Lepisosteus oculatus: one gene and its partners. The protein of the gene in region 2 interacts with the protein of the main gene of each other region in a pairwise test. Links are inferred from orthologs where the notes say so. Each region holds a gene or a part of one and is shown on either strand. Other genes may lie near its edges.

Evidence for each region.
Region 1: the proteins of tnika (region 2) and akap9 interact in a two-hybrid assay, tested with the Homo sapiens proteins (2 studies listed by BioGRID and IntAct). The link is inferred for Lepisosteus oculatus from reciprocal best matches to the Homo sapiens genes TNIK and AKAP9.
Region 3: the proteins of tnika (region 2) and srgap3 interact in a two-hybrid assay, tested with the Homo sapiens proteins (2 studies listed by BioGRID and IntAct). The link is inferred for Lepisosteus oculatus from reciprocal best matches to the Homo sapiens genes TNIK and SRGAP3.
Region 4: the proteins of tnika (region 2) and agtpbp1 interact in a two-hybrid assay, tested with the Homo sapiens proteins (2 studies listed by BioGRID and IntAct). The link is inferred for Lepisosteus oculatus from reciprocal best matches to the Homo sapiens genes TNIK and AGTPBP1.

What each region holds. Positions count from the first base shown.
Region 1 is NC_090705.1:5,253,706-5,262,061, forward strand, and holds the start of akap9 (A-kinase anchor protein 9), read right to left. Parts: upstream 3,216-8,356; 5' UTR 3,024-3,215; coding exon 2,976-3,023; intron 1-2,975. UniProt on the Homo sapiens protein: Scaffolding protein that assembles several protein kinases and phosphatases on the centrosome and Golgi apparatus. Required to maintain the integrity of the Golgi apparatus. Required for microtubule nucleation at the cis-side of the Golgi apparatus.
Region 2 is NC_090708.1:14,163,999-14,172,693, forward strand, and holds the start of tnika (TRAF2 and NCK-interacting protein kinase), read right to left. Parts: upstream 3,452-8,695; 5' UTR 3,392-3,451; coding exon 3,369-3,391; intron 3,177-3,368; coding exon 3,110-3,176; intron 1-3,109. UniProt on the Homo sapiens protein: Serine/threonine kinase that acts as an essential activator of the Wnt signaling pathway. Recruited to promoters of Wnt target genes and required to activate their expression. May act by phosphorylating TCF4/TCF7L2.
Region 3 is NC_090699.1:52,656,880-52,665,002, reverse strand, and holds the start of srgap3 (SLIT-ROBO Rho GTPase-activating protein 3), read right to left. Parts: upstream 3,241-8,123; 5' UTR 2,732-3,240; coding exon 2,644-2,731; intron 1-2,643. UniProt on the Homo sapiens protein: GTPase-activating protein for RAC1 and perhaps Cdc42, but not for RhoA small GTPase. May attenuate RAC1 signaling in neurons.
Region 4 is NC_090698.1:61,943,501-61,951,073, forward strand, and holds the start of agtpbp1 (cytosolic carboxypeptidase 1), read right to left. Parts: upstream 3,100-7,573; 5' UTR 2,987-3,099; intron 391-2,986; 5' UTR 358-390; coding exon 326-357; intron 1-325. Other genes in the region: naa35 (N-alpha-acetyltransferase 35, NatC auxiliary subunit), read left to right, coding at 6,407-6,527, 7,014-7,047. UniProt on the Homo sapiens protein: Metallocarboxypeptidase that mediates protein deglutamylation of tubulin and non-tubulin target proteins.

The DNA of each region.
Region 1 (8,356 bases), on a different chromosome or scaffold from region 2:
TGCCTTGAACACTCAATACCCTTGTTCTCCCAAATAGACATGGGATGGCCCACTTCACACTGCAACATACAGGGCTCTCTTGTGTTCAAGATAAGCTTACTGTATATATCAGTTAGACCTGCCTGAAGGTTTTGGGAAACTGGAAAAACCATTCAGGACTTTATAATCATAATAATAATTGCTTACACTTATATAGCTCTTTTCTGGACACTCCACTCAAAGCGCTTTACAGGTAATGGGGACCCCCCTCCGCCACCACCAGTGTGCAGCCCCACCTGGATGATGCGACGGCAGCCATAGTGCACCAGAACGCTCCCCACACATCAGCTATCAGTGGGGAGGAGAGCAGAGTAATGGAGCTAATTCATAGCTGGGGATTATTGGGAGGCCATGATTGGGAAGGGCCAATGGGAAATTTGGCCAGGACACAGGGGTTACACCCCTACCCTTTTCAAGAAACACCCTGGGATTTTTAATGACCAAAGAGAGTCAGGACCTCGGTTTTACGTCTCATCTGAAGGACAGCGCCTGTTAACAGTATAGTGTCCCCTGTCACTATACTGGGGCATAAGGACCCACATGGACCGCAGGGTGAGCGCCCCCTGCTGGCTCCACTAACACCTCTTCCAGCAGCAACCTTAGTTTTTTCCAGGAGGTCTCCCATCCAGGTACTGACCAGGCTCACACTGCTGAGCTTCAGTGGGGCTGTCAGTTTTAAGTTGCAGAGTGATATGGCTGCTTCGAAACAAAAATACAACAGACTCGCCTTTTATGCTAAATATTTTTACCCGAATTCGTATTTACGTGGTGGGAGATGAAAAAAATGAATGGAAAATCAAATAATGCAGGGAATTTAGCAAATTCACATCTGGTGTGACATGTGTGGTGTGGTGTGGTGTGGCGTGGCCAAGTAGATACTGAGGCTCCAGCAAATTGAGATTTTGAACAAGTTTAGGGGTGGGACGATGGTGACCTGTTTGGGGCGTAAGTATGGCAAGAATGAAGCTTCAATTCTTGCAATGAGAGGCAGAAGACTTTTCGTCCGCTATGTTCCCTGCATTTAAATATCAAATTTTATTTGATCTATTTTGTATACTGTACAGTAATGTATTGACTGTATTACTGTTTTCATAATACCTTAAGCTACATACATACACATACAAATACACCTGCAATTGGTTGCAGGGAGGGGAACAGTGGGGTCTTAGGGAGATGCTCTAGTTATACATGATTTTGGGTATACAGTAGGCACTATGTCAGGAAGCCAAAATGTCATTTACTGTATATAATCACTTCCTGAATATCAAAGTACTACCCAAAAAGGCTTTTGGTTTTAATAATAAACCCAAATTATCAGCAATGTCTTTTGTCTTGAACAGAACATGTTTCCAAAAGATACCCAAAATCGTCAAGCCTAATATAAAAGCTGCTTGCATAGCACTAAAGTATTAACAACCCTATGCGTTAGCTGGGAACTAACAGCATATAGTAAAATCACCAATAAAGTCCAGTGACACTCTGGACACATTAACACTGTAAACCTAGCAGAAGGATGTTCCCCTGCTGATGCATGGCTGTTTCACTGCGGGGCAGAGCGCAGCATAACTGGAAGGTTGTGGGTTCATACTCCTGACGAGACACTGCTGTCAGCGACTCACTAACACAACATCGGGAGAAGCAAATTGGTTTTCACAAGGATTTAGGCTCTCGGACACAACATATATCAGATGATTTCACACTGAATTTCATCTTACAAGGTGAACAGAGTGCATCCGGGTGAGGCTTTTAATAAATGAGTGAAAATGTTAGTCTCCTACTACTGATAAGAACCTTTACTACAAAGGAAATAAATTCAGGGGGAGGACCTAAAACCTACTGTATTCTCATTCGTCAGACAAAATTGTAAAGGAGACAACAATTATGAGTTTGCAAAGGCCATGCCCACAGAAACTAAAAGTGATCCCATTGAAGAGATAATATGACCAGAATGAGCCTACGTAACACTTGCACTCTTCTGCCCTGCTCATACTGTATTTTTAGGTGCCACGGGATAAGGGTCTGGTCTATTTTTAAACTGCTGTATCTTTGTCATCACCCTCACACACACATATGAACTTGGGCAGAAACATTTCACTGTTGCATGAAACCCCAGCCTTTTCAAGAGCACTGTTAATAAAATGGGCCGATATATTCTCACCTGTGCAGACTTCTGATTTCTGGAACGTTTTGCTTATTTCATTTAATAACAAGATTTCAGCTACAGTGTGTTTCGGGTGCAGCAACTTGTATTACAAACTACTGTACATATAAAAATAAAATGAACAGTAACATCAACAGTGCGGATATACATTATTACACTATTTTATCATTGATAGGTCAACGTAATTATTTATAGAAAAATATAAATGAGCGTTAAAAAAACAGTGAAAACCTAAGCACTTTGTCTTAATTATAATGTGCTAACTCACTGAATCCTGCTGATTGAAGAAACGCAGTAACCAATGTGATGTAGAGCCATTCAGTGCCGTATCTTACAGCGATGACAAGTTCAACGATGTGAAGGCATGCTTCTCACAAATCTTGTTCAGCAGGAATCTCGGGATTGTCTTTTTTTTTTAAACCGATCCAAGACAGTCCAGTCATGTCATGATCAGTCCGACACACAATCCGCGTTTTCCCCGACAGCAAGCGTACGTGAAACTTACACGCCACTTTTCAAAGCTTCACTACAACAAAGACAACCAAGGCAAAAGTGAAGCTGTCAGTCGGAGTTGCAGTGTTAAGGACAGCTGACAGATACACTGCAGCAATACGGGGCCTGAGCTGTAGCTACAGTAGATCAATGAAATAGTTACTAAATTACTGCCGGTTACACTGCGCAGTGTTACAACTGAAAACAACTAGCCGGCCTAACGACACGAAATCATTTCTGAGCACACTGTCCTCACAATAGCGCATTCCCTCAGATGTCATACCTTCGCTTTGCCGGCCTCCAGCTTCTTCTGTCTCTCTTCGTCTTCCATTACGGTCGTTCCTGGGCCCAGGAAGAGGAGATTAAGGCTTCACACAAAGTGTCAGTTAAAAGGGTCAGAGCCGGTCTAACGAACTGACCACGTACTGGCATGTAAGGCTTCTTCTGCAGCTCCTAGCAAATACACTGTGCAAAAAACGTGTAGAGGACTCTCCGTTACTGGCTCGCCTCGGCCGCCATATTCAATACCACGTAAACACAGGGACCGCTGGTGATGACGTTCCTGAAGGTGCCTGCTTGCGATTCACGCCTCCAGGAAAAAAAAAAAATAACTCGAGGAGGGGTTTAGTTTAAGGTGGCAGCAGGTAAGGAATTTGCGTTTTGTAAAAAGATGAAAATTAAAAGTTGAGATCATTCACTTGGGCGTGCGGTATGTGCTTCGGCTATATTTCGGTGAGCAGGCTTCCGAGTCGGTTAAACTTTGGTATCACTTCTAAGATGTATAAATTTGCTCTAAATATGGTCTAATCAATATTTCTGTGAACGACAGCTCTTTATTATTCTTTGTTTGATTTGGTGGTTATTTACTGTAAATAAAGTTAAATACGAAATGAAGTATTTTCAGTAACAACATTTAATTATTTTTCCTATTATACTAATGTGTTATATGATTTATTGGGAGTAAAGATGTAATGCAATGCAATACTGTGCTGTACAATGAAATGCAGTATTCTTGTATGGTGATGTTGGGCAATGTTGCAATATTATAACTTCAATGAACCGATAATTCATTAAAAAAAACATAATTCTTGGAAGCACATTTTAAATGAATAGACACCTGTGGCTGGCAAGCAGACTGCTGATGGATCAAATTACTGTCTCGATAAGGCCCTCAACTCCGTTAAAACGTCTAATTGTATTAGTATTGCAACCTCAGTTTTCAATACTTTTTTATATCTTGTGCGATTCTAATGTAGCCAAACACTTAGTATCATACCCTCCAAGCAATCACCAAGCAATATGGACAAAAAAGCTAAGACAATAAAATGCAAAGCTAAACACCTGATGCGACCTTTGTTTAAATGCACTGGGGGGACATTTCACAATTCCTGAGGTTTATACAATAAATAGACTACGTACCTGCAGGAGAAGGTGGCCTCTGTCTCCGGACCACTGGGGTTGTACAGCTGATAGTCTGGCTGATCTTTAATTCCACCCATCTTCGCTTGGACATTTTTAGGTGTCTGTAGCAAGATGCGTCTCTCTTCTTTCTGAGGGCTCTGCGGCTGTGAGGCTACAGCTCTGGGACTCCAGACCATCAGAAAGTTTAGGGCATTAATAATTGACGTGACAGGAGTACTGTGTCAGCCACCGTAACTTAAGCACATACTGTAGGTCTGAGGCCATAATGAACTTATAAGAGGAACATGTCTAATTGACATAAAATTTGCTCCACAGTACCAAGTGTGTCTTTTTTTTAAATGAAGCCACAATGGAAAAGTACTTGTATCACAATGTAAAATGTAGTACACAAATTGTGGCAAACTCAGTTTCAGTTTTGTAGGAGGGTTATTCTTGCTAATCGAGGATTTTTGGTCATGCCCTGTATTTGTAGTACTGTACATGCGTTTTAAGGTGCTTTAGTGATAAGTATACATGCTTAAGGAATTTATTCAATAAGAGGAAAAGTAATATGATCCTGAAACATAGTCGATGCTGCATTCAATTAGATTTAACGCTTTGGAAAAATATTGCACTTAAATATTTTGATCTGAACCTGTAAATCCCCTGAAAAGAAGACATAGGACTAATGACTCCTTATATACAAGAACAATCTGAATGAACAAAAGTTCTGCCGCAGACCTGATGCAGAGAAGAGGGCTCTAACTCCACTGACTGTTCTGTCTGAGAAGCAATGAATGTCAGGTTCCACTGTCCCCAGTCACACTTCATCTCAGAGAATGGCCTTTGAGCACTGTATGAGAAAGCAAACTGTTTTAAATACAATACATGAGAAAGGAATGGCTGTATCAGGTTCCCAGCTCACTGCTGTTTAGCATCCTTCCAGTCTGATGGTGAATCTGTAAGTGATATTGATCTACATCCGGTAGCAGCTGCTTCAGAAGACACAGCTCTCTGAACAGAAATAAAAAAACAGTTGTTTAATTTGTTTATTAGTCAAGATGAAAAAGCACCTTGGGCTAGAATTTCTGTCAATCTCTCAAGTTACTGAGAGATTTTCAATGAGAAAAGTTCTGTAGCAGTCATTCAATTGAAACTTTTGGTAAAGGAGTTTCTCAGCCATTTGGGATTTGGGCTACTGTACCCCTGTTGGAACCTGACATACTTCTTCGAGTGATCAAGGAATGGATGATCTTCTCAATCTCACCTTTTTCATGAAAACTGCTCATCTGTAAATCTCTCTGGAAGCCGATCAGACATTCCTACTAAACACAGCAGAAGAAAAGGCAATATAACATATCTTGAACTTTGAACTTGAACTTGAACTTTATTGCCATATGTAACCGGTACTGGTACAATGGAATTCTTACTTACAGAAAGTCTCTCGATTGTAAAACAAGTGTAAAAAACAAAACAAAGTGCAAACAGTGCATCAAGACAATGTACAAACAAACAATAGACAATGTGCAAGTAAACATGTAGACAGTTTGAATGTAAACAATACAGACGTGAAAACAATGACTGGAGATGTGCAATAGATAAGAAATCATAAAGAGGTAGATGGTGATGGTGTAGGTGTGGTCCGAGGGGGATGGCTAAATGCGTTCGCCAGTCTCACTGCTTGTGGATAGAAGCTATTGAAGAATCTAGTGGTAAGTGTCCGTATGCTCTTATATCTCTTGCCTGAGGGCAGTGGGGTGAAGAGCTCATGCCCGGGGTGGTGACTGTCCTCTGTGATGGCCAGAATTCTACCACGGCAGCGCTCCTCATAGAGCTGTTTTATCTCGGTGAGACCGCAGCCGATGATCTTCTGGGCCATATTGACCATTCTCTGCAGTGCAATTTGTAGCGACAGACTGAAAAATGACACTCAGATTTTAGTTATAAATAAACTGAGGCTGTATCAAATGCAACAAATGATACACAAAGGAGGAAGAGTGGAATGGTAGTTAACATTGAGTCTTGGGGAAACTGAGTGGGTTTTCTCAGGTCACGAAAGACATGCCAATCAGGTTAATTGGATTCTCTAAACTGCCCCTTGTATGCGAGTGTGCCCTGTGATAGACTGGTATCCCATCCAGGGTGTGGGCCTGCCCTGTGTCCTGAGCCTGCCAGCTGAGGCTCAGGATCACAACGGATCAAGTGGCCACTGCAAATGAATCAATAAGCAAAGCAGTAATTAAGAGAAGCAGCCAATATAAAATGGGTATTGTTGGCATAGTCTAATCTTAAATGCAGGGACAGCTAATGGAATTCAAGAGTGACAGCTGGATGTCATGATGAAACCAGAGAAGGAGAATAAATAAACAGCAGAGGGCTGTTAGTGCCGAAACATGAGAGTGTCTAACATTCACAGTTGTATCCATGCATTTGATGGTGTCAAAAAATAAATGGAATCTATTCAGGTGAATAATAAATACATTCCAAAATTACAATATGACTGATCTGTAAAGTAAATAATACCCTGCCATTGAAAATACTAAAGTAAATTATACCTTTCTTAATCAACTACCTCTCTGTAATGAATAATGAATTGTATAATGAATATAAAATAACAGAACAAAATGATTTGGTTGTATAGCACAGTCTTGTCTTAAAATGTGGATAGAATGTTGTCAACAGATTTCCTGTTGTCATCAGGTTGTAGGTCCTGGAGATGAAGAAATGGGGGTTTAGACAGGTGTCTTAATTAATAATAATAATTAATATTAATAATTGCTTATACTTATATAGCGGTTTTCTGGACACTCCACTCAAAGCACTTTACAGGTAATGGGGTCTCCCCTCCACCACCACCAATGTGCAGCATCCACCAAAGTCTTAACTGGTTATGCCTTTCAGGAGGATCCCCTCTTTAGCCTGACAGGGGTGCAGTGAGCAAGGAGCTTCATTTCAGACAGCATAGGCCGCAAGGCAAGATCACACCTTGGATGAAGTCTGATAGACCCCTGAGCCAGTATCTAGCTCATGAATGTGACATGGTGAAGTGACTGTGGTTAATACTATTCCTGAGATTTTTCTAAATGGGTTAGTCTTATTTTCCTTGGTTTGTTGTGGAACTGTACTATAGCTTGATATGACAGTAATCCATACACTCTAATGAAGATTTGCAGGCAGACATGTCACCTCTCTGTGCCACCAAAAACAGGTTGTGTCATTTGACTCTGTGTGACGGTGCTGTGGCATTTAATTAATTGTTCTGGAGGTACATAACAACCAGTGTTTGCTTAGTCTTTAAAAATGCCATTCTGTGCGAAGAAAGATGTCTGTGAACAATGAGGACTGTATGTCTTAGCTCTGCCCTGCAGTGACGTTTGGGGTGACAGCGAAGGGTTCTGTTCCTTCTGGCCCTGGGGAAACAGACAGCAGCGAGTTAAATGGAGCCCACCGTCCAACATGACAATAGCAGCTACATTACCAGTGTTGTTTATGGTTTAGGGGAGGTCTGTGGCCGAGCAATCCTTAGTCACCTTCGACAGAAGACCTGTACTACAATAACAGTAATTAAACTTAAATTACTGCTGTCCGTGGAGAAAGAACAATGAAAAATGTGTGCATGTGAGGCATTGGAAATATTTAAAAGTACACTTCTACTGGGCAGCATTTCGATGGCATACTGACAGAAACATTTCCTTTTTCGCACTGCTACAAATCTCCCCCTATTGTGAGGCCAATTTTCCTTCTCCTTCCTCGTGTTACGGAACAAAAAAAAACGTTTTTCGATCTTTGAAAAACATGGTGTGGGGACATGCACTCCGTCTCTTCTGGTTCATTTTCTAAATGTAATTGCAACACTTCATGTGTGCTAGAATACGTGACTCAATATTTATATGAAGGATAATATGATTAAAGCAATTATTAACATGCGCCATTTCTGCCCCGTGTCTGGGCGACCAGTTGATGCCATCTAGTGGTCACAGGTCATTGCGACTCCGTAGCGGGAATGCGATCCCTTCAGGACTGCAGAGGGCGCCAGCAAATGCGTTCAATCAGAAATAACCGCTGTTGCAGGACACTTCTCTTGCCGTGCTAGTTCTATTACAAACAGCGGAAATGACCTGTGAAAAGGGTAAGGGAAGAGGTTGACTAGAATGGTGTGCTTTTCAATGAAAGCAAGTGTTTTGTTGCGTAGCAACAGAATTGAAATGTGTAACTCAGTATAACCTTGCATACCAGTTAGCCTTGCTTGGGACAATAGTAATA
Region 2 (8,695 bases):
TCAACAAATAAACTCTTCATATCTAAACTATTCAAAAACACAGCCAAATACAACTTGGAAATTGTTCCTGCCCCTCAAATAAGACACCAGCAATTTTAATTGGTTCTCACAAAGAAGTTTCAGGTGCAGAGCAGAGTCAGCAGCATGATTAAGGAGGTGGAAGGGGAGAATGACTGGCCTTCAGTAGAAATAATACTGTAGAAGAGGCACTTGCAGAGACAAAATCTCCAGAATAATTGAAATCTCCAGAATAATGGCAACTCCTACTTGCCCTACTACAGTGCATTCTGTTAACTCTTTCTTCCACAATCCAGCCTTCTCAGTTGTTTTAGATTTATGGATATCTAGCAAGAAAAGGTTAGACCTGTGTTCTACACATAATAGGAACATTGACGTCTAGCGCTCCATCCTCAAAGCCACATCTATCAGTCCAGTATATGTGCAGTATTATGATATTGGGGAATATTTACACGGAGAAACAAATAAGTGGAACCACAACAATAGGAACAAGAAATGAATGACTTTTACTTTGTCAAACTTTCCCTCCTTAAAGCATTTTTTACTGTTTAATTTGGCAAATACTCTATAAATCAGCTAAAAAAGCATGAAATCCATACCACAGTGTTAAAGTACAAGAAAATCATCTTACACCCTTAATAGGCTTGGGTATGAAATCTCATGGGAGAGACATATGAACAGCTAGCCATCTGTATAATTCAAAGACAGTTTTTCATATCACAGCTAATTGGCTAATTACAACTCTTAATAGCGTGCTTCATTTTCCATAAAAGGCAAGACTTGTATTTCCAATGATATATTATTTGGATTGCGTTTCTGAAAAGGCCTCCAAGTATCAGAGTAAAGTCATTAATGGTTATCAGTGTTATCTGTTTTTACAATGTATCCCTGGTCTATTTTGCCGTGGAGCAAAGTTTTATTGAACCCTACCAGTTACACCTCCCTATTGCTGTGGGAATATAAAACATATACTGTTCATGGTATAGGTGCAGTGCCAATAGACAATAACTGAGTGCCATTTGCAGTGAAGCTATAACAGATAAGAAGCAAAAAAATCTACAACATTTGTACAAGTGCACACAGGCAGCTATTGCATCCAGCCATTATCTCCTGTAGAGCATCTTAATTATCCTAAACAACTCAACACACATCACTGGTCCTGTTTTTTGTTTTTATTTTAAAAAAGGTTTCCTACATTTCCCATACCAAAGTGAGTTCAGACCTGTAGCACTATTACAAATGAAGACTTTGTGAAACAAATATTCTGCAGCAATCAAAAGTGAATTTTTTGCTTGTGCAGAGGTATCACATATGTACAGTAGCTCACATGGTGTAGAAATACATTGTTACATACAGTACTACACACAGGAGGACTGCCTTCTTGAATAACAGAAAACACACTTATGCAAGTTACAGTCAATTACATCTTCATTCGTGTATATGTAGGACACGTGACTGCTAAATGATTTGCCTATTATAAATAACTATTCTGTTGCCTGGATTTTAGGCTGTATGGTTCAAGTAGAACTCAACATTCAAAATGTAGTCCATCTCTGCAAAGCTGCTAATAGACATTCCAATACCAAAATACATAACATTGTTGAAACTCTACATTCCGGGTAATCTTAAATATATGTATTTGATTATGAACCATGAAATTAAGGGAAACGTCTAAATCATAAATGGAAAAAATATGTTTTCAGTGAGTAAGCATTGTAGGTAATACGGATGAATCTATCAGCATTTTACAGAGAATTAAAAAACTCGTAAAAATTAAAATGGGAGGCAATATCCCACAATATGTTATATATCTCAAAGATATGTCCCATGTCTTTATGTGCCCTTAAATTAAATTAACAGAAATGCTGCAGGATTAACATTGTTAAGATGATCTGTTTTAGCACTGCTTATAATGATGATATTATGCATAAATTAACTTAAGGCACTAACGAATCAAAACCACATTAAAGCAGGTAAGGTTACATCGCATAATAACTCATTTTGAAAATGAGCACTCCACAGGATTTAGTTGGACACGTTCAACTTGACACAAATGGTGACAATAAGGTAACAAATACACCTTGCGATAGGCAAAAACAGAAGCTAGCAGCAAAGCCCACAGCGTTACCATACAGTATATTAATAGAAAAATTGAGACAAAAGAATCGCCACCAAACATCTAGCATTGTGCACAAACCGAGCCATATTCAGTTATCATTTTCGCTCTAATGCTGGCAGCATGAAGCTGGGTATTAAACTGAAAAACGCTCCATACCGTGAAATGCTAAAAACATCGTACAGTACATGAAGATATACTGTATATGTTTGCTTGGCAAACAAATATGGTATATTAGGTGATCCGCTGTAAAACTGAGAGGCTCTAAACTACATCTCATGCCGCGATTATTGGGTGGTAAACATTTTATATTTTCCCTTCGTAAAGGCATTATAATTTGACATCACCACAAATCACAATTGTGACATTATAAAAAAAGGTGGGATTTTCTTGTCTTTTATTAGCCGTGGTTTTCTGTTAAATGTTCTGCAGTGTTACAGCAAATAAAAACCCCGGATTACATAAGAATTTTGGATTTTTAGTCTATGTCCACTCTGTCTAGAATTCAGAAAATTGTTTTAAAAAGGATTTTCACAACTCTCCGTGATCCGCTTGAATGTACTGCACTTGACTGATTTTTTTTTGTAATGTCTGTCAAATAGGGCTATATAGGGAGAAAACACAAGCACAGCATTTCTGGGGTGTGTGTTTCTTTATGTGGACGAGTACAATCCAGCAGCCTGAAAACCCTATTGTATAAAAGGTACTCAGCAGCATTTAAATATTAATTCAGCGAGAAATATGTTTCATTTTACTCCAAGCTCGTACTACATTAAAAGCAAAGGTGCAATTGTGATAAATTGTGAGGACATCGTCGCCCGTTACATCAGTTCAAGTTGGTGTCATCTCTGGCTGTGCGTATTATTCACAAGAGCTTGATCAGGTGCAAAGCGTTCTCATCAGCCCCATTTTCTTCGCCGTCTCGATAGCAAAAAATTCACTGACAATTAACATCCAATACTTATACAAACTTACCCTCAAAGCTGAAAGGTCTATTTCATCCAAGCTTCTGGCTGGAGAATCGCTCGCCATGTTTATTTCACTAATGAAATTAAACAAGAAAGATAAATGAAAGGAGACAAAATCCTTTCTGTGCGGTGTCCTGCTAAGTTTGTGGCAAACGCAAGGTCCCGACCGTTTTCCTTAAAAAAATAAAAAATGTAAAATAAAAATCCCTGCTGATATCAGGAAATACGGATAATATGTACAAGCAGCACAGTGCTAGAGGTGATACCTTGATGTATGTAATGAGGACATGCTTAGCACCGTATACACGGCGTCCACACGAACCGTAAGCTACAACAAAACAGAGCGAACGCACAGATAGCAGATCTGCAAAATACTGTCAATCAGAGGCTTCCCGGGAGTGGTCAGAGAGAAGGGGCGGTCGGATTGTTTCCAGCCGCCCATTCTTTCCTTCTGAGCGAGTATTTTCAAAGCAGGGCACTGTTTTAACAAGCAAGATTTTCTGATAACAGGTAACTGCAGAGCTGCAAGCATACAATAACGATACAGTCCGGGATGCTTTTAAATATCATTAACTGATCCGTCAGGGTCTAACTCCTTTCTATATGCCGCTGATGTGCTAACTAAAAGACTGAATTGAGCGCTAAAATATTTCAGTTGGACTGTAAACCGCACCGCCTTAATGAAACGGTTCTTGCATTCAAACATAGTCTTAAATTGAAAGCAAAAACTCCACTTACCTTACCTGTCTTATTTAAGCAATTAGGTATCAACTGTGCCATTCATTTCCAATCCTAATACAATAAATTGTATATGGCCAATAAAGTGATCTTACATACGACCTGACGCATATACTTTTCACCACGAGCTCATTGGAGCCACACTTAAAGCACTTTTCATTGAAACGTTGAGTAGATAGGCTTGTTGATTGTTTGAGAAATGTTGCTCCTTGGGATACGAAAATACTGACCACAAGTCATTTGATTTAATTAAAACACTGGATCCTCAGTGGTTCGTGTGACTTTACTATGCATTTGTATAATTAGGCATTCAAAAAAGCAACAGTTTATGCAGTGTAAAAACCATGAAAGATGTGATCAGAACCCTCTTGGAAGTTATGAAGTTGTCCTGGTTGCTACAGTATGTACATGATTGAAAGCCACCAATCTGTGAGAGACGTTGCCTGGAGAATGAGATATATCAGCATATTAGTCCAGACAAATCAGGAAACTGGCTGTGTGAGGGACAGACCACATCATGGAAAGCAGAGGGTGATTGCTCTGTGCAATACGTTTCAGACTGCACTGAATACACTTTTAGAAATTCTAGGAATAAATAACCCGAGCATCAGCAGCATGACTCTTATTGTCTGTCTTACAGTAGCATGTTAATGGTAATAGCCAAGTCCTGTGGTTCTTAAAACATCTGGGGTGGAAGAGATGGAGTGCTGGAATGTTTTATTAACTAAGGAAAGCCATTTTCATATCCTTGACAGACCTGATGGAAGGACTTGAGAATTACACAGACTGTTGGTCTTTTCAATACTTATAATACTGAATAATTCTTTACCTTTATATAGCACATTTCTGGATACTCCACTCAAAGAGCTTTACAGGTAATCCCTTCCACTACAATGTGTAGCACACACCTTGATAATGCAATGTGTGCAGTGTGCAAGTACACTCGCCACACATAAGTGGGGTGGAGAAGTTTAAGCCAACTGTTCAAGCCGACAGCGACCAATCAACCTTTACTAGGTGACTACAAGCCCACAGCAGTCTGTCCAGAGGCTGATCAGGTCTGCATGTCAACAGATTGTGTCAAAACTCAAACCCAGTACTCACTTCATAATTTTATTTTCACATTGATGGGGTTTTGTGTTACATGTCAAACACATATCATGATTCTTTTATAGTATTTTTGTTCATATTCTATTATTTTAGAATTGAATATGAATATTTTAGAGTTGAGATTCATGCTTAAAATATCGAATTACTGTACATCCTTTAGACCTGAGTGTAGTGTTTCTTTTACGTGTCGGTATATGATTATTATTGTTGTTAGTTAGCTATAAAGAGATCTACTGAACCTTTAATGTGTTTCATTTTTTTTCTCCCTGTATCTTTGCAGCCTGTGTACTGTTATGCTCAATAAGTTTAGAATGCATGCTTTGTCTTGTTTTTTCATTGAACTTGAATTTCAAGCAATGCTAGGCACACACATTTGTGGAAGCTGGCTTGTTTCCCCGAATGTCTCACTTTGTGGCTGTCTGTGCTTCTGCTTGTTTGTATTCCTTAAAAATGTTGAGGGTGTGTACCTCTCAGTAAAACCTATTGTGTTAAAAGCATTCTCGCACCCTTGTAAATGTTTATCATAGTGAATTTATCACTTTTATTTTGACTCTTGTGCTGTGGTTATAGACATTATACTGTATATTCTTTGCACTCTCAGTATGGTTTCTTATGACTTTACTGTGCCATTGTACTTTAAAACACTGGTCTAAGAGAAAAAACATCCGTAAAAAGGTTTATTATTGTATGTTAAAATATTACCATGTCCCAGTCTAGTAAATTTCAGAAAAGACATGACAAAATTATAGCATATAGTGAAAAGAAAATCATGATAAAGTCACCATGCTTTAGTTTTATAGGTGAATCTTCACAGTGGTTAATGTATTTCCTGTCTTGCTGCCGTGTGACAAGTGTTGATTTTGAAAGACAACTGTTATCATTGTGCTTATGCAAAAAGAACATTTAAAAACGCCTTAAATAGCGCTTTTCAGTTCACTATTGAAATAGCCATGACAAACGTTCTTTAAGTGCTGTTCTTTTCCAACTCGAAATGCAATACAAAATGACATTTAAAGGTAATACAATTATTATTCTATATATTCTTGTACTACATTTGAACTCTCTCATGACAAAAATGATATTATAAAAACAGTACTATGTTGAATATTACCAAAGATACTATTGAAAATACCATTACTGGTTTGTACTTGTGCAGATATGGATGATCTCATTAATTAAACAAAATGAATATTGCAAACCACTCCAGAAGTTTTGATGGTACACTAGTGTTAATACATGATTGAAAAGGCCTATGCCACAAAATGGCTGAAATCAGAAAAGCATTCTCTAAGCCTTTTTTGCCATTCAGATCCCATGAAGAAATACATTATCCAGTCAGTCTGAAACAAAAGAAACAGTGTTCATTTGAAATTTTACACTTCTGCATCATCCTGGAATTTCTGTTTCTTACTTTAGATTTCTTTTTCTGCCTGCCGCTGCATAAAAAGTAGCATTTGCCCAGGAGCCTTGCTATGCTACAATAAGTTAAATAATTGTTGTTTTTAAAAAGTGCATCGAGGGAGATCATTCCTCAAACTATTTCACAAAACAGACCCATCGTTCAGCAGCGCTTGTACATTTTATCTTTTAAAACATCCCATTGTTTCATCATCTAGCTGCAGCAGACTGGCTAGGTACAACTTTAGTTTCCTTTCCCTCTTTAGCAATGGAATTGACCACTTGGAAATATTGTGCCCAAATGGACTCCTGTTCAAAACTGGATTTTTAAAGTGGCAAACATATGTGTTCTCCTTTATGTCCCATATCTTTGTGCTTCCACTGAAAACTTTTTTTTTACTGAGGCATATTTTTGGTATGATCATTGAAGTGATTTGAATGGACTAGTTATAAGCCATCTGTTTCTGTACTCAGGTTCCCCTCTTTTCTCTTTCCTGCTTTACCAGTTATGTCAATAAAAAGAAATGTGTATCCTGCCCAGCTGCTATACACACTCAAGATGATCTGAGGTATTTAAAAGACACCTATCCCACACGAATTTCAGGCACCAGGTAAGGGTGCCTTTTAAATAAATCCAAAGATTTATTACATTCAAACAACCATTATCTTCTTGTAGGTTGCCACAGCCGAAACATTGCCACGCTCTCTCGTTACTTTCAGTGTGGAGCTGACTTTTACAGATGGCACCGTCTGCTAGTACTGTACAGTATGTACAGTATACATTAAGTATTTGTAGCATTTTTACCCATGTGATTAGCTGAGGCTATAGTGATATTTCATTTTAATAGGCCGACACAGATATTCCATTTCAGCAATTGGTAAGCAGTTTTTTGCTCTAATAGATTTGTTTTAAGTGAGTTTATGAATGTCACACTATTATTGTTGCAGGGTAAGTACCTTGCCCCAAAAGCCAAGAAGAGGAAGTAAGGGAAAGAAAAAGAATTGACTCAAACATTTGCCGGTTCTGAGGACACAGGCCTGCGGCCCTAGACTGGATTAAATGACTCACAATTGAACTGGGGTAGAGATCACCCTTGAATGCCATATTACACCACCAAGTTAGTTTCTCAGAAAAAAAAACAAATGAATCAGCAAAATGTAAATTGCTTTTAGGATTGTTTTCCTAGAAAATCACATTTTCTAGTCTGTTCCATGTATTTTAATTCATAGACTGTTTTGGGATCTGTCTCATTTTCCATTCCTTCTTGGAATACAATTTGAGTTTTCTTCACCTGGATGAATGCCACCTTGTTACTAAACTACAGTAAACAAACATATTGCTAAGATCTCCATGATTTTATCCTGTAGTTCCAGGTTTAGCACCCAAGAATTTGTTGCATGATTTTAAACCTTTCCTCTATGTCACCACATGTACTGAATCGAAATTTCCCCCAAAAAATATTTTTTGAATAATTACACATTACTGAATAATGGAATAACATGGACATAATGTTTAGCTTTCATGAATGTTTATTTCCTTATGAAGTGATTGCATTTTCTACTGGGTTTTGAGACAGGCCCATTTAGTATGTGCATTGACAAATGTGTTTACTGTTTTAGATAGAAAACTGCTTTTCTACAATTTTGATTTATTGCGTAGGTTTTCCTCACTCTTTAGTAACCTCCTGTTTTACAGATTTGGAGTCACCAGATATTTGTCTGTTTATAACCCTGCACTGTAACCCTTTAGTTAATAAACTCACCTCACGGCTACAGCATTCATGTCAGCAGCACCAGAATGAGGACCAATAAGACCTCGTTTGATCCAAACTTGACAGAATCATTCCCCTGTAATAGCATAGGTGAGAAGGGTGCTGAGGATCTCTGACAACCCAGCAAGTTCTCAGGCAACTGACACATCACGGAAAGGAGCTGCTTTTCCATAGTAAGACAAGGACACCCTAGATACTGTAGTTTCAGCTTACAAAACCCCTGTAGCACCTACAGTAGCAAGCTCAGGAAATCCCAGTCACAGTTGTTTAAAGACCTCAAAGTCAAATCAGCAATATATGGACTACACAGTTTAACCAGTTCTCTGAAGTGCCTATAAAGTTGAGCCACTTAAACACCTCAACTACTCCCCTTAATCATGAAAGCAAACCAAGATTCTAAAACTGGAAACTGCACACTGACAGCTTCCATATCTTGAGCTGCATACCAGGTTATAAATAGTCAATGTTAGATTTTTAGTAGTCACCAAGGCCTTTTCAGAAAGGCTTTGGTTCTCTTCACTAAATGACTGTGTGATGGAAGGTATCTAATTTGTTCTTCTAATCACCACTCCTGA
Region 3 (8,123 bases), on a different chromosome or scaffold from region 2:
CATTTCTGTGTTAGCTGTCTCTAGGGACACTTGCAATAAAAAACACTACTGCTTCAAACAGATGCACAGCAACATGGGTCTTCCAGATAATGCTGATAAAACATAGGAAGACCCACTTCTGTTATGATGCATAAACTGCTTATCGTCCTCCTGGAGAAAACAATTAGCCTATTGTTTTTAAACATGCATGATACATCAAAACATGTAGCCAGATACTAAAGAATATACAGTAGGTGAAGCCTTGCAATGATAATTAGATAATGAAGACAAATTATACAACCTATGACTTTATCTTTCATATATGTTGCATATCAGCACTAATCTGAAATACAACAAAGTGAAAATGAACATGATTTTTTTTTTTACAGCTGTGACAAGCATCTTTCAAGGTCACTTCAAAATCAATCGCTGCATTAACTCCTTACGTGAAGTGGGAGACAAAATACTACTATTTACATATAAAAACAGTGAAATATGTTTAATACAATCATTTTAACCACAAGTATCACTGCTTAAAAAACAGAAGTATGAAGCTGTATGAAGTATGCTAACTATGAAGTATGGCAACATACTCAAACAGCTTACTTTCCAAAGCTGTTTATAATTTCCGATTTCTGCCCATCTGCACACCATGTTGTGAAATTGTTCCTCGTTTTTTAAATTTAGGAGAAATAAGTGCCCATGCTGTCTAAATTGTTGCAAGCAAAAATTTTCACTTATATACTTGGTACAGTATACAGAAAAAATAAAATATCCGGACTTCTGTTTATTAAAGGAATGATGAAGTCTTCTAAAGTCCTTTGTTTTTTATATGCACAACTTTAATTAACATTCTAAGGCTCCTTGTGCATGGTACCGCAATAACAGATCCGTGGCCAAACCTGACAACTGCTGTAGTTGATAGGCCGAGCTGTGTAATAACCCTTAGGGTGCACAATGCCCATTACGCATGGTTGTCATTTCTCATGAGTCGACTGCCACTGACAGCAGTAAAGCAAGAGTGAATGGTGTTCTCAATCTCAATGGTGATAGATGTCCTCGCTGGTGCTAGGCTTCTATAGCGGTCTGTGACTTCCTGACAGACACCTGCTTTCGAGAAGAATGCTGTCCTGTGGGTTTTATAAGTGACTATAGGAGACTACAGATTACTCTAGCTCGGCCTGGATTATCTTTTCCTTTCTTTTGAATATGCCATACCAGTCGAGTCTGTAATTGGAATGAGTTTCTATTGGAATGAGTTACTGAAATCAGTGTTCAAAAGTGTTCTTACCCACAAACTCTCTCCTCTCTAGTCCTTCCCTTAAACTTAATGGAACACAGTTCTTATTGCAGTCTTTATTGTCAAGTGAACACAGCTTTGAGAACTGTTCACTATCAGGGAATCAATTGTGAGATATTCTAAACCTTATCTGTATTTTAAAAGCAATTCTCCATTTATGCTTAGAAAGGCTTTGCCCGGTGCATCAGCCAAGTGGTTCAATATACCACCAGTATCCCAGATGTTACTGTACATTTCAGTCAATGTTCCAAGATTGTTCATGCTGTTGTTTTCACAATGGAGTTTATGTGTGTGCAAAGACGTTTCCACTAGTCTAACACTCGTTTGTGTGTGTGTGTGTAAGGGTGGGTGGTGGTGGGGGGGGTATTTAGTTTCTATTTCATTCCGCCTTTCTCGAAAGCCACTACAAAGGCTTTAAAGCGTAAACAAAGGCAAACAATTGAAGGAGCTCCCCCTCCAATTCCACCCATCTGGCTGCTTTCGGAGCCTCGCGCAGAAATGGACCGGCATTTCAAGCATCAGTCTACCCAGCAACAAAGCCGCGAGATGCTATTCACGGAGATGATAGAAAAACACGAACATTCAGCACACTTCCACGGAAGTAGATACGAGGGGAAAAAATAACTCCCAAATTTACCATGACTTCGTAGAGTACCCTAAAACCCAGTTGTGAAATATGAATTTAAACACGTACTGACTCATGCATGCGTCACACTACTTGAGGGGGCATGTCTGCCACTTTATTATGACTGTTAATTATTAATATTATGAAGGATTGTTACTACTGTTAATAATGGTCAACGTGATGGTATTCTTTTAGATGTACATCCAGAACGACCTCAAAGAGAAATGCTTAGTCTATCATATGACATGCACGATAATATAGTTATTCAAGAAGTGATTTAAAGCCAGTTATCTAATACAACCTGGAATATACAGTAACAACTGCCTAAAAATATTACGCAAGATCACGAGCGATATTCACCTTGTAACCCAATGGCAGTGTCAACATAAATCAAGACACAGAATACATGAAGGAGGCCCATCGACCAAAATATTCAACCTTTCAGATAACATGAAACTGTCAAAATGATACAAGGACGTGTCTCAATAGGAATGACTCTCTAGCCAACCTTGTTTTACTGCTCTCCGCTGCAATGCAGCGCAAAGTCACACCAACGGCAGATGTGCGTTTCATATCCACCGGCAAGTTTTTTTTATTAGGCTTTCCAGAAAGGGAATGACACTAGAGTCCAATTTTAATATTGAAATAATAAACAAACAGTGAATGGGAAAGTTGCAATGCAAAGATACAACATGAGAATTACTATGTCCGTCAAATAATGTTTTAGAAAAATACCGACCTTTCACTTGTGTTTCGTATTCCGTTGTGATCTCCTTGTCCTTCTTGAATTTGTTTTGAGAAGACATGGTTCTGGAAGTATGAAGCATACGATGCCCTACGATGTCCTGGCTCGGTCGACTTCAGTTGGAAAAATTCAGCTTCACAGTATTGAGATTGTCCTGTTTTCAGTTAACACCCCCGAGAAGCGCAAAACCTTGCTGTGTTCTGCACCCCTCGAAAGACAGACTCTTGTTTGCAAAACAGGGTGCTTCAAGTGAAAACTTTAAAGACGTTCACAACTGCTCACCTGTGTTGAAGATTTTAACAGTCTGTATTCTCAAACGTAAAGCACCACCAAGCTACAATGAAAAAAACAACGACTCCTCCTTTCTTGTGATAAACGTGACATCCAAAAACCTTAACTGCAAACCGGGAGAAAGCCGTGTGGATTATATCAACCCAAAACAGAGTCGGGTTGCGAAAAATCCAGTTTTATATGTCCTTCCATTATTGGTTCATTTTCTTGAAGTACAGACTCAAACGAACTGTGTAAGTGCGCAAAACAATCGCCTTGCTTCATTTGAATAAGTCTGTGCACACAGAAGATTTTTTGCTGCAGGGTGAATTGAAGCAGACGTCACCAGACTCCTCCCATCTTTTTTTCTCCTCTATTTTTTATTTTTGTGATCACAGAGTCATTGTAGTCTCAGGGGAACAAGGATATGCTCTGCAATATAGAAAAAAACTATTTCTAAAATATATAATTCAAGTGAAAAATGTTGAAAGGTGAAAAGCACAGAATAAATAAAGAACAATAACTTCCATTTTGTAAAGAGTTAATAGATGAGAGCAGTTCTGCCCTTTTTTCATTCAATCATTATTCAGCGTGAATATAAGAGAAAAAAAATCCTAAAGAGATGCCGTGTATTGGACGGTTAGTGCGTGTATTGTTACTTTAATACATGAAAAGTATTGAGGAATTTATGTTGGTGTTATCTAAAAACCTTCTTGTAACTAATGCAGAAATCATCAAGACTTTGGGTTGAGTGCGGTCTGGTTACTAGGCTCAAATCTAATGACCCGTTTAGGCAAGAACATTTTATTTGACAATATTAAGATGTGTCTTAAGATTTTTCATTCATAAGCACAGAACATAATAGTCACTAATAATCAAAGCATAGTAACTGTAACTCTTATTTTTTGTATCTATTAATTTCCTTTATTGTGAAGGGTTAGAACCCAAAGAAAAATCAAATTATCCGAGTCACAGCAAGCTTAATGCTACATTGAGTTATTTCAGACTTCCATTTCTCACTTTGTTCACATGTAATTCTGTTTGGAACGACTCTAAAAGCATTATATTGATGCTGAGTCTTAATTCCAGCCTGCAAGCAAAAAGTAATAAAAAAAGCTTGTGTACAGTATGAGGTCTGTACATCAATTTTCACATCAAGAGTTCATTGGGGTTATACATTAAAAAAAGACTTGGAACAATGCAATTGTATTTAAAAGGCTAGCAGGAAGAAAGAGGTGTTAATGACAGAACTCTGTCAACAGGAGTATGAAATGTCTTTGAGATACTGTGTGACATTCAAGATGGAGGCATCTTAAGAAAGTCATTACATGACCTGTTTTTCAAGCCCAGTGAGGTGGGACTATTGTTTCATCCTGTTCTGTAAGTTGCATCCTTTGGCAAACAACAAGTCATCTATCCATAATAAAGAGATTTTGTTTTCAATTGTTCAGTTGGTGGCACCGTACACTACATAGCAGTAGTGAAAGTTATGGTTTAATCTTATAAATTACTAGAGTGTTAATTTTTACAAGTACCACAGTGTTAATAATTACGGTTCAGAAAAATGTTACATTTGATTTGAATTGTGTGTATTGCTGTTCAGCCAAAAACACCTTTTGTTGAAGGGGAGAAATATTAAAAAAGAAAATGTCTGCTATGCAGAGCTTGATGACACAATCGCTGTATTCCAGAACTCTCTGTAAAACACCTTTGCCCTGCAGAGACTATTTTTTTTCATGTATTTGTAAAAAAAAACTTGAACTGCAAACTGCAAGAAGTCAGCAGAGAGCAATATCCAAAACTACAGCTTCAGCACCCTGGCTGAGACAGACATTTTTTTAAAAGCTGCTCCTGCAGGTCTTTACTTATAGGCCTGAAAAAGTGCTCCTCAAATGAAGCTCACTTTCCAATGTCTGTCTAGGGATTAAAGATGATAGATCCAAACTACTCTGACCTTCCTCCTGCCAGCATGTGTAATGTTCACTCAAGGACCAAAACGTAGGGAATATTACAGAATATCATTTGGTCCTCTACAAACAACAAAAGCTTGCCACACTATTTTATCCCATTCCCCTAGCAGGGTGACCTTCATTTTTCAGGATTAAGGTGCATGTTCCATAGGCTAGATGAGAGCTCCTAATATTTTGTCCAAGTAATGTAGCTTCAAAGATCTAAGTGATGAAAAGAGAATTTCACAGAAAGGTGTCCATACCATTCTAAAGTGTATATACTAGCTGTAGTGATGTTGAACTAAATAAAAAAAAAGGAATTTCCTACTTGTCATCTAATTTACTATCTTAAGGTATGATGTTTTTGGAGTTTTAGATTTTCATTAGTTTTATTAATTTTTTAGACCTCATTATCAAGGAATGATTAAAAGTATATATAACTATATTATTATTTAAAGGAATTAAATCTCAACAGTGATGATCTTCAGCAAACCATTATGTGTCTGTTTTAAGAGCAAATCAAGTGCAATCTCAGTGGTAACTTTGGGGCTTATTGAATTTGTTGAAAAGTGCTAGGTACAGTAAGTTCATCATACAGATATACGGTAAATACCTACTGTAATTTGTAATGTATAAACATAGAGAAAAAACTATATGTTTATGCATAAAACATAAAACATACTGTACATAAAGCCAACAAGTTGATGGCTTTAAATACCTTGGATCAAAACTGGTAAAGGGAGGAGAAACACTGGAGGCAGTAAAACAAAGAGTGAAAGCTGGATGGAACGAGTAGAGAGAAATAACTGGAATAATCTGTGACAGGAAAATTCCTAGAAAGTTAAAGTGCAAAATGTACAAGACTGTGATTAGACCTGTACTACTATATGGAGCTGAATGCTTGGCAGTTGGAAAGAGGGAAGAGAACCTGATGAGAAGAACTGAAATAAGGATGTTGAGATGGATTCTACAGATTTCAATGAAGGATAAGATCAGAAATGAAGAAATCCGCAGACAATGTGGGGTGGTGGATGTGGTTGAGAAGATGCGAGAGGCGAGGTTACGGTGGTATGGACATATCATGACGAGGGACGTTGAGGAAGTAACAAAGAGGGTAATGGAATTTGAGGTGGAAGGTAACAGAAGAAGAGGCAGGCCTAGAAAGAGATGGATAGATTGTGTGAGAAAATATATGGAGGTATGTGAAGTCAGTGAGTAAGATGTGCTCGACAGAGACAAGTGGAGAGGAGCAACCAAAGCAGCTGACCCCAGGACAGTCTGGGACTAAGGCTGTGAAAAAGAAGAAGAAAAAGAAACATAGAGAAAAAACTGTGATTTTTGAAACTGTAAACAATATTATTCAGTTAAGTCTAGATACATTAAAAACTATTGGTCAGTAAGAATTCTCCAGTGGAATTATGCTCTTTAAGAGCACAGTAAACATTCTCCATATAGTTACCATAGCAACCTAACCACTCCGGTAATGCTAATACACATTACTTCCATGACAGTGGCCCCCTCTGCATCCCTGGAAGCAGATGTAATGTTTGCTTAAAGTAACTAAGCAAGAAAAAAAAATCATCTGCCTGTGCTCATCTGAACATTTGCATTAACAAGTCTGGAGATTGTACACACATTGTGACTGATCAGCCCTCCAGGAACTCAGATGTGAATTTTAAGGTCTGTGTGCACAGCATAAATGTATCTATTTTCCATCAAGCAGATTTCCAAGTGCAGCAGAGACTAAAACTTTAAATCAGCTGCCAGTATAGAGTTCTAAAATCCAAACCCAATCCACACACTCTAAGATTAGTGTTTTGTCCGGACTCAATTCATTTAGTATTTATATTATTTATAAGGATGCATTTAGTCTTATTATAATGCTCGACTGCCTAAGAATGTTAATTTGGAATGGCTGGAACAGAAGAAATGATGCAAAAGCAACATTAACAAAGCCAAGCTAAATATATAAAAAATCAAGAAAAGTCATCGGGGTGGCATTGTTCTTTTGCAGGAACATTTCTAAGGCAAAAATATAATATTGTCCTAGGCAGATATGAACAGTGAAACCATTACAAACATTAAAACAAAACACCTTGACAAGAAATCCCAGAATCACTGTTCATGTTCACCCAGAATCCTGGGTGGCTTTATTTATTGTTCTTTCTGGTAGTGATGCTAGCCATAACATGACCATGTCAACAAGGAACATGTTTGAGCAAATGTGGTTAGAAAAACTAAAGGGGAAAAAAAGGATATCCCTGCTGATAGATACACTTCACAGATTTATGATAGCTACAATTATTTACAGATTGTGTTGGGCAAGATATGTACAGTATAAAGCATTACAATTAGAGGTTACTTGAGGGAGGCATTGCTTTATCATGCAAATTAATACATACATTTTAAAACAAATTTCCCTGAACAAATCCCTGAATGTCTTATTAATTTAAACCGATCATCATGTATACATGTAACTTGTAATTGTCTACTTTTCCCAATACTGTTTATAGGTAAAAAAACAATAAAAAAAAATTGTCAGTGCATATTAAAGGTAAATACCCTCCCCTTCTAAAAGGAACATACCTATATTAACAAAGGTAGAAAACTCTTGCAGTGAATTGATAATGCTCTTAATGCTATCTCCTCATACTGTATATAGGGCCCAAATTCAACATTGTGAAGTAGAGAAAATGCACTCTATGTGTCCAGTGTAGTGTTTGAAGTTATAAAAATATGTTTTTTTTAGATTTTCTTAAATCTGGAGAGTTATCCTCTAAAACCTGTAAATATATATGTTAGTTTTCAGAAATTGAAATGTTCTCCTGCCTTAAGAAATGAGCAAGCCATCCTTACAGTATATCTGTGACATACAGTACACAGTGAGTTATTAACTGAAAAATGTACCACACCCTTCGAGTTACTTTTACTAATGCTCTTTCTAGGAAAATTAATGCCAAACAGAATGATAAATACAATGTGAAATTGTGCAAAGTGGTGTAATGTGAAATTTACTACGACAGGATGATTGTCTGAGGCCTGTGTTAAATTCACATTAAGGTAGTTCTTAACCCTTTAAGATACAGTTGTTTAGAAGAAATAGTCAAGAGGTTTGAGAAAAATTTAAAACAAATAATATTCAAGTTGTAAGTCCAAATCAGATTCATGGATTCTCTTTATGTTATAGACTATAGTACATGCAAATACCAGACATTGCAGGAGAAAAAATGAAAGAATGTTTGTTTCAAAAAGAAT
Region 4 (7,573 bases), on a different chromosome or scaffold from region 2:
GCAGAAAGCTTATCAACTCATTTGCTGGTCAATGTTGTCTTCTTTATAATAACAAGTATTTTATAGTGTCTTAGAAAAGTAATCACCTCAAAGCAATTATTCCGGCAAGAAAAATACAGACCACATACTGTAAGGCTCAACCAAGCATTCCTGTACAAAGAAACATTCAATCACTGACCTGGTTAAAAAGAAATATTTGATCCACACCTCTGTCACATAAATCTTTTTTTTTTCAGAAAACATAACTATGTTCTTTGTTTATTTTCACTAATGTTTTTTTATCTCCAACAATCACTCCTATAATGAAAGAGTAATCACAACTTACCCTTTATCGGTTGTCATTTTTGGCTTATTCATTTTGCTTCGTTTCACTTCATCATTTTAAAGGCCCTGCAAATCAATAATAATAAAAAATACAAGTAATAGGTTTATTCCATGCTGAAAAAAAAGAAGAAAGAGAACACAACGTTTCGGCCGTGGAGCCTTCTTCATAAAAAATAGTATATTACTGGGCAGTAGTATAATGGACAGTGCTGATAAAGTCATTTTTCTAACTTCCTAACTCAAAAGCAGGTATGTGTATTTTTTATTTAGGATTATACTGCCATGCTGGTGAAACAATCATAATACAAAAAAATCTGTGAAGATACAAGAAATGTTTGAATCTTATAGCATCTTTGCAAAAAGCATAAAAGGTTTAGATCATTGCTGAGGTCAACTGACTGCTGAGTACTTGCTCAACTACTATGCTGAGCAAATTTGCAGCTACATTTACAAACACTTGCTCAAAAGCAAATAATTTTGACTTAATTATGATTAAGTTCTTCCAAATTTGTGGATACCTTGAACGTTCTGTGTAGTCTGAGATCAAACCAAAAACTTGAGTGGCCAGAAATCACAATAGAAGAACAGATAATACCAAAATAACTCTTAACTGGGCAGCAGCCATTCATTATGTCTTTCCATTCATTTTCTTATTGCTTTAGCCAATACAGGGTCATACGTGATCCAGCAAACAACAGGCATAAGGCAGGATACACCCTGGACTGGGCTAGTCCATCGCAGGGCACACACTCAAGGGCCAGTGTTCCCAGAAACCAATTAACCTTACAATGTCTTTGGACTATGGGACTGAAAGTAGATCACCACACAAACTCAAAGACTACATACAAGCTCCATGCCAATGGCACCTCAGGTCTGGAACTGAACCCAGGGCTCCAGAGCTGAAAGGTAGCAATCCTATCCACTACACTCTGCTGCCCCAACATGTATCAAATAATAACAAGTCAATATTATAAATAATACCACCATAAAGATGTACTTTTAAAGCCCTCTTTTAAAGTACTGTGTATGGTTAAAAAAGTTATATGTTAGCGTAATGCACACAACGGTAACTCTCCTGGGGATCTGAAAAGTGTCAGGCTATTGTAACAACTTAAAATTTGTGCTGTGCACTTCTATTTCTGAACCTCCTCTTCAACAAATATATTGAAGGCTGGTGCTTGATAAAACAAGCTGTGAGGAATCTGCAGCTGATGTGTTCAACACATACTGTAGCTATTGAACTGACCTTGAATCACCAGGGCTCTTTCTTTTACCAAGTTGCAGTACATTGACAATAATAAGAGATAACGAATAAAAAGCATGAAAGAACATGCTTTAGTTTGGAATCAAAATACTAGGTAACAGCTGAACTGGAGATTTAGAAATTTAATAAAGTTCTCAATGTTGGGTACATCCATAAATCCTGTATTATAACTGGCTTAAACTCTATTCACAACCTACTTACAATACTTACAATTAAAAGAAAATGGAGAAAGACGTTATGAATGCATTCAAAGCTTTTCTCAACAACATGGAGCTTTTTCTTACTAATTTTCAGCGTGAAATTAACCTCATACCTACAAATATATGTGGATGATACATAAATGCATTTTTATTTGGTGGAGGTTACAACTGTCTTTAAGATTTAACAAAAGTTCGCCGAAATCTCTGATGTTAACTAGTAATACTGTACATTGTCAATGCCAAAGGTATTTAAATTAAGAAAAAACGAAGTTCCAAATTTCAGAAACGTCCTGAATAGCAAATGCAATCATCTTCACCGAGTCATATCAAAAGAACACTTAACAAAGCGGGGATAATTTAATAAATGCCAATCTGATCAACGCCATTGTTCAAGTTCACGAAACATTGTGAATTTGGATCTGTAGTGTTCTACATGAAAATTTAAAACGCAAAGAAGGAAAGTCTTACAGTTAAGAAGCAGATTAGTTCACCTTATGGAGATTCCCACACTTATACAAGAATGATAAATCCTTATATGGAATTTTGGTGTTTATTAGCTTGAATTTAAACTTAATTGTGGTTCTATCACATGCCTTTTCTTAATTGCCCAAGTTAAAACATGTATCTACATTTATCGCATTAACACAATGTTCCCATTATTGCAAACTTGAAAATGAAGCGACTCATTTAGCAGTCTAAAATGGAAGAAAAATAAAAGTATCTCATACGACAGGTGTCATGGCAGCTACGAAAGCCAATATAAAATACATCGAACAATCAATAAATCGTCCATATATAGGAAATAGCTCTTCATCGTCCTTAATTTTCTTACAATACATGATTGCACAAAATCAAATATATAATACACATCTTATGCATGTACAGTACATGTGGCAGACGTGACCTGACATGCCATGTAATTAGTGAGCAACAGTCTGTGGCATGCTATATATGTTCACCCCGTAACTATAACAACTTGCAGCGAGTTAATGCAACATCATGCTGTGTGCAGCTTCCCTGCAAGCGGGCCTGACACCTGCAACGACTGTCAGCCTTCTGCTGCTAGTGCTGTAGTGTTTGAGACAAAACTGGAATAGCACACATTCTATTGCACCTGCTGAATGCCAACATGCTCTTTCAAAATAGCTTGCACTCCAGAGACAAATTCATATTTTAAGGGCATTTAAACAATACAAACCGATCGCTGAGGCAAGCGATGTCCCATACGGGGAAGTCAGCTCTTCAGTACGAGCTAAGAGACGCCCAAATGTTTTGATACAAACAGCATCCGATTCCCAGAACCATTGCTGTCAATACTTGTTAAATCTCGCGAGAATGCAGAGGACTAAGGGATTGGTAGTTTTGAACGATTTTTTGGCGAGGAAAAATGACGTTGCAGAGTACGTGCTTATGGGGACTGAAGTTTATAATCAGCACCAATTAGCTGTCGTTGTTCATTTGGGATTGGTATGGGTACAACATTTCCCAGAATGCAATTCGGTGTTTCATGCCAAGGAAACAGTTTGTATGGCCTTTTATTTGAATTCTTTCAGACAACGTTTTAATCAGCTTTTAATCAGGTATGATAGAACTGGAGGCGTTAGTGCATTTGTAATTACGTAATGCAGTTTGCTGCGCTTTGTAATGTTTTTTTATGTTTCAGTACGGACTTAAAAAATCCTTCAGTATAGAATTAAAACTATTAAAATTATCTCAGGCCTTACTGTAACAGAAATCGTGCTTCTGTTTGAATATGATGTTAAAATATATTACAAAGTTGCGATTTTAAATATAATTAAAATGAATGTCTTACTTAAGGTTCACTTTTTGGCTTGGTTTAGTGTGATTTTGTGGATATATTTTATTTCGTCAGTGATATATTGTACCTAAAGCTTAAGTATGTTGTTGCAGACACCTGTGCAAATTAGATATAAAAGAAATTAATGAACGAACTTTTTAAGTGGCCAACCTTTTTCTGATGTACTTTGATTTTTGTACGTACATATGCAAGTCATTTTCGATTTTGTTCACATAAGAGCAAAAATGCATGATGTGTTCTTATAAACTCCTTGTCATAATACGTGTCCTTTGTGTTTTATGAGGGCATATTAACAGACATTACGACTTTTATAGTTTAGATCGTTTTTTTAGAGACAAGGTTACCTATACAAGCAAAAATATTCAATATTGAAATTTTTTGTTGCGTTTGACTGAAGTCAGACAGGTACAGAAGCGCAGTGGTTAATACTGACTGGAAACATCCAGAAATACGTATGGCACCTTGTAACTGAGACGTTTTACTGAAAATACTATTTTTGACAATTATATTTTTCTGTGTTTGCTGACCGCTTGTTAATTCTAGCAAGTGGTCTTACTGATGTGAGATAAAGATGCCAGTCATTATGTTTGCACCTCTTTAGTCTGTTGAAATCAGTAGTCAGCTATGTTGTATGTTATTCTAAACTGAAAACTGCACTTGTACTATTAGTCAGCCGTACTGTGTTCTGTTATGCGCTGTATCAAAATGTACAGGTGATGTGTTAGGGCCTATTTATTTTCAAGGGATTCAGGAAATAAATCTGTTTGTTTCCATTATAATTCCCTAATACTGTAAAAACGGAGATTTAGTTTAATTGCCCCAAGAATAAAGCAAAATACAGTATATCTGGTCAGAAGAACTAAAAAAAAAATTCCCTTTGTGCTAGAGAGTACATTGAATCGCCTTTCTGTGATTGCTTGACTTGTGTATTCTGCATGAAGGCCTTACTAAGTTCTATATATTTTGTCAATTGAAAGCTCTGACATACAGCTTAAGAAATAGATTTTTGTCCCCGAAATCTATAATAATTTACTTTTTCAACAATTATTAGATGCAAAAATGAAATGATGTATTTATCACACCACACGCTGAATTCTTGACACAATCTGGTAATCCTCTGAAAACTGTAAAGTCTCTTAGAGTCTCAAGAAAGGAAACTATTGGCATGTCTAAAACCCATGCCATCTAATGTACACAATTAACATAATGAGGCCTTATTTGCAGTTTCAGATCTCTGTTGACATTTGTGTTGATCAAATATGTCACGTGTTTTTTTACCAATTTTTTCCTTAATATCCGTATTCATACAACTCATTAAGTCTTTTTATTGTAGAAATGGTTTTCTACATTCAGCGGCTCTGTGCTTTTTCTTAACAGAATTGTACTGGTTAATTTTTGCAGTGTATGTTTCTTGCATCTCTCCCATTTTTGTGTCTAATGGTCTCTGTAATAAAATTGTATGGACAGAAATGAATATCTAGATTAGGTACTCTAGCCTTTACCTGAGATTTGTCCGAGTAATGTTCTTTCCTTTGTGGATAACTGCAGGTGAATAACAGTTGATATTCTGACACATTGTGTAAAAGTTTTAAAGCAAGGCTATCACTAACTTTATGCCGGTTTATCACAGCTTCACATTACAAAATTATTTCCTGTTTTGCAACAGGAATATGGAAATTAATTTTGTTGAAAATTGAGGCTGGGGACCTGTTTGCAAAGCTACAGTATATCCAAGTATGTGCATACAGTATGTCATTAATGGTACCATAATGACAGTGTACATTAGTGTACAAATAGGTAGCTGTGTCAGCATGTGTAGGCTGCAAAGGAACAGATGAAGGTTTATTCCATGGTGAAAAGAAAAGAGACACAGTGTTTCGGCTTTGGAGCCTTCTTCAGGTGTCACCTTTACCTGTTCCTTAGTGTACATGTTTATCTACAATAGTTGCTTACAACCTCCATCCGGGTGCAACCACCTACACAAGTTATCCATTAGACCAGGTGCTGGAGCAATAAGTAGGCTACAGGATAATGACGTATGTGTATGTATAGTAAATGGATTATTAGTTCAGGTGGGTAGCTGCATCAGCATGAGTAGGCTGTAAAGGAATAATAGGTTTATTCCATGCTGAAAAGAGAAGAATGAAAACGCAACATTTTGGCTGTGTTTTCTTCTTTTTTTCATCATGGAATAAACCTGTTACTTGTATATGGATTTTAACTTTTTCATAAAGTTGTTTTCTTTATAGGTAAATAATGCAGATAGAGATTAACAGAGATTCTGAACCTACACATTTAAATAAACATACACTTCATTGAATCACTTTTCTTGCATAAGTTAAAAAAGTAATCTTTTTCTAAGTAACATTTAAATAGATACCCTTTATTGTCAGACAGTGTAACTGATGATTTAGCTTTTTTGTTCCAGAATTCTTTTGTTTAACGTTCTGGGGGAAAAAAAGGTTTCAAATATCATACTGCTGCTGGTTGTATGTATTTAATAATATTTGGGATCAGGGTGTTCCTTTTACACCCCCACAGTGCTTTCAATTCTTATTTTATCTCCGACAGTTCTTTTCATGTTCATCTACTGAAAGGATTTTTTTTTGTTCTTCCTGGTAATTCATTCAAAATAAGACAAAAATACTTCTTGGCTCTGGTTTACTATACAGTACTTTTATGAATTAGCCAGCCTGTCTTTCTTATAATTTAAAAAAAAAAGGTGAAGCTGTGAAAGAGCTTTGTTGGAGCAGATCCCAATTAAGGCATCTGTTTGTTAATCTGTCTGAAGCTGTTGTCATGGTAATGAAGTCATCTGTTGAGGATGATGATGCTGGCTGGGGGCTTGGAATTCCAGAGAAGATGAAGAATAACGCAAACTGGGTGGATATCACCCTGGACTTCAAAGGGGCTTGTAAAGGTAAAGCATAACTGCGGCCTAATTTTTTAAAAAATATATTATTGATTGCATAATCAGTAAAAAAAAATGTATATAAAGTAGTTTTTTTATTACAGTGTTGTGTGCTTCTTTCCTGGAGCCACCTGTTCCCCCTGCCCCTCATCCTTGCAAGTTTGCTTATATTACAGTGTCTTATAGTGAAGCTAAAATAGATTTGCCAGTTCAAAATCTGACTTGTTCTATATACTGTATGTTGCATGTCATGTTTAACCATAGCAAATTTTAGGGAATCTTGATGTACAGCATCTTATTTAGGGTAAATCATTTTCCTTGAAAAGGCATAGACTTCATTGTGTTTTCCAGTTTTTACAACCAGATTTTAAAACTGCCTTTTAAATCAAGTTATTTGTTGTGTGGCAGAAAGTCCAGTTGTTTCTAAGTAGGGAGGTCAAGAAGTATGAATCCTGAGATCCCTTCCCATTTGTGTATGTTTTTTTTTTTATGCAGAACTGAAGCTTGGAGAACTGCTCCATGACAAACTGTGAGTACAAAGAACTGACCTGCATGGCTTCTTGTGCACCTGGTTTATCACATCCCTTGTTCTGGCAGATGCTTGAATGTTGAATGTACATCTAATTTTCCAAAAATGCAGAATTTGAAGAGTAATTACTTTCCAGCAATATGTTATGTTTTTTCCATACTGAGGGCTGAGTTGCAGGATTGAGCTTTGAGGTTCTTTCAGTATGCATTTCCTTTTTTCAGGTGCATGCTGTTAACTGAGTAATAACAGAGTTAATAGAGAAATGTGTTGCTAAGCTGATGGCTGCTGGTTTGACATTCTTTTCTTTCTCTTTTTGGTCAATTAAATTAATTAATTCTGAAATGTATGTTTTGGTATGTTTGTCACCTTTTGTGTTCCAGTGTTTTTCAATCTAGTAATACCACAGATGGCTCCAAATCTCAAAGCTTCTTCTTCCACCTTCATTACGGTTCCTGAGCAAAATGGAATATAATCAATCAAGCTATAAGACCATTTTAAAGAACATTTACTAAATCAAAAGAAAAGA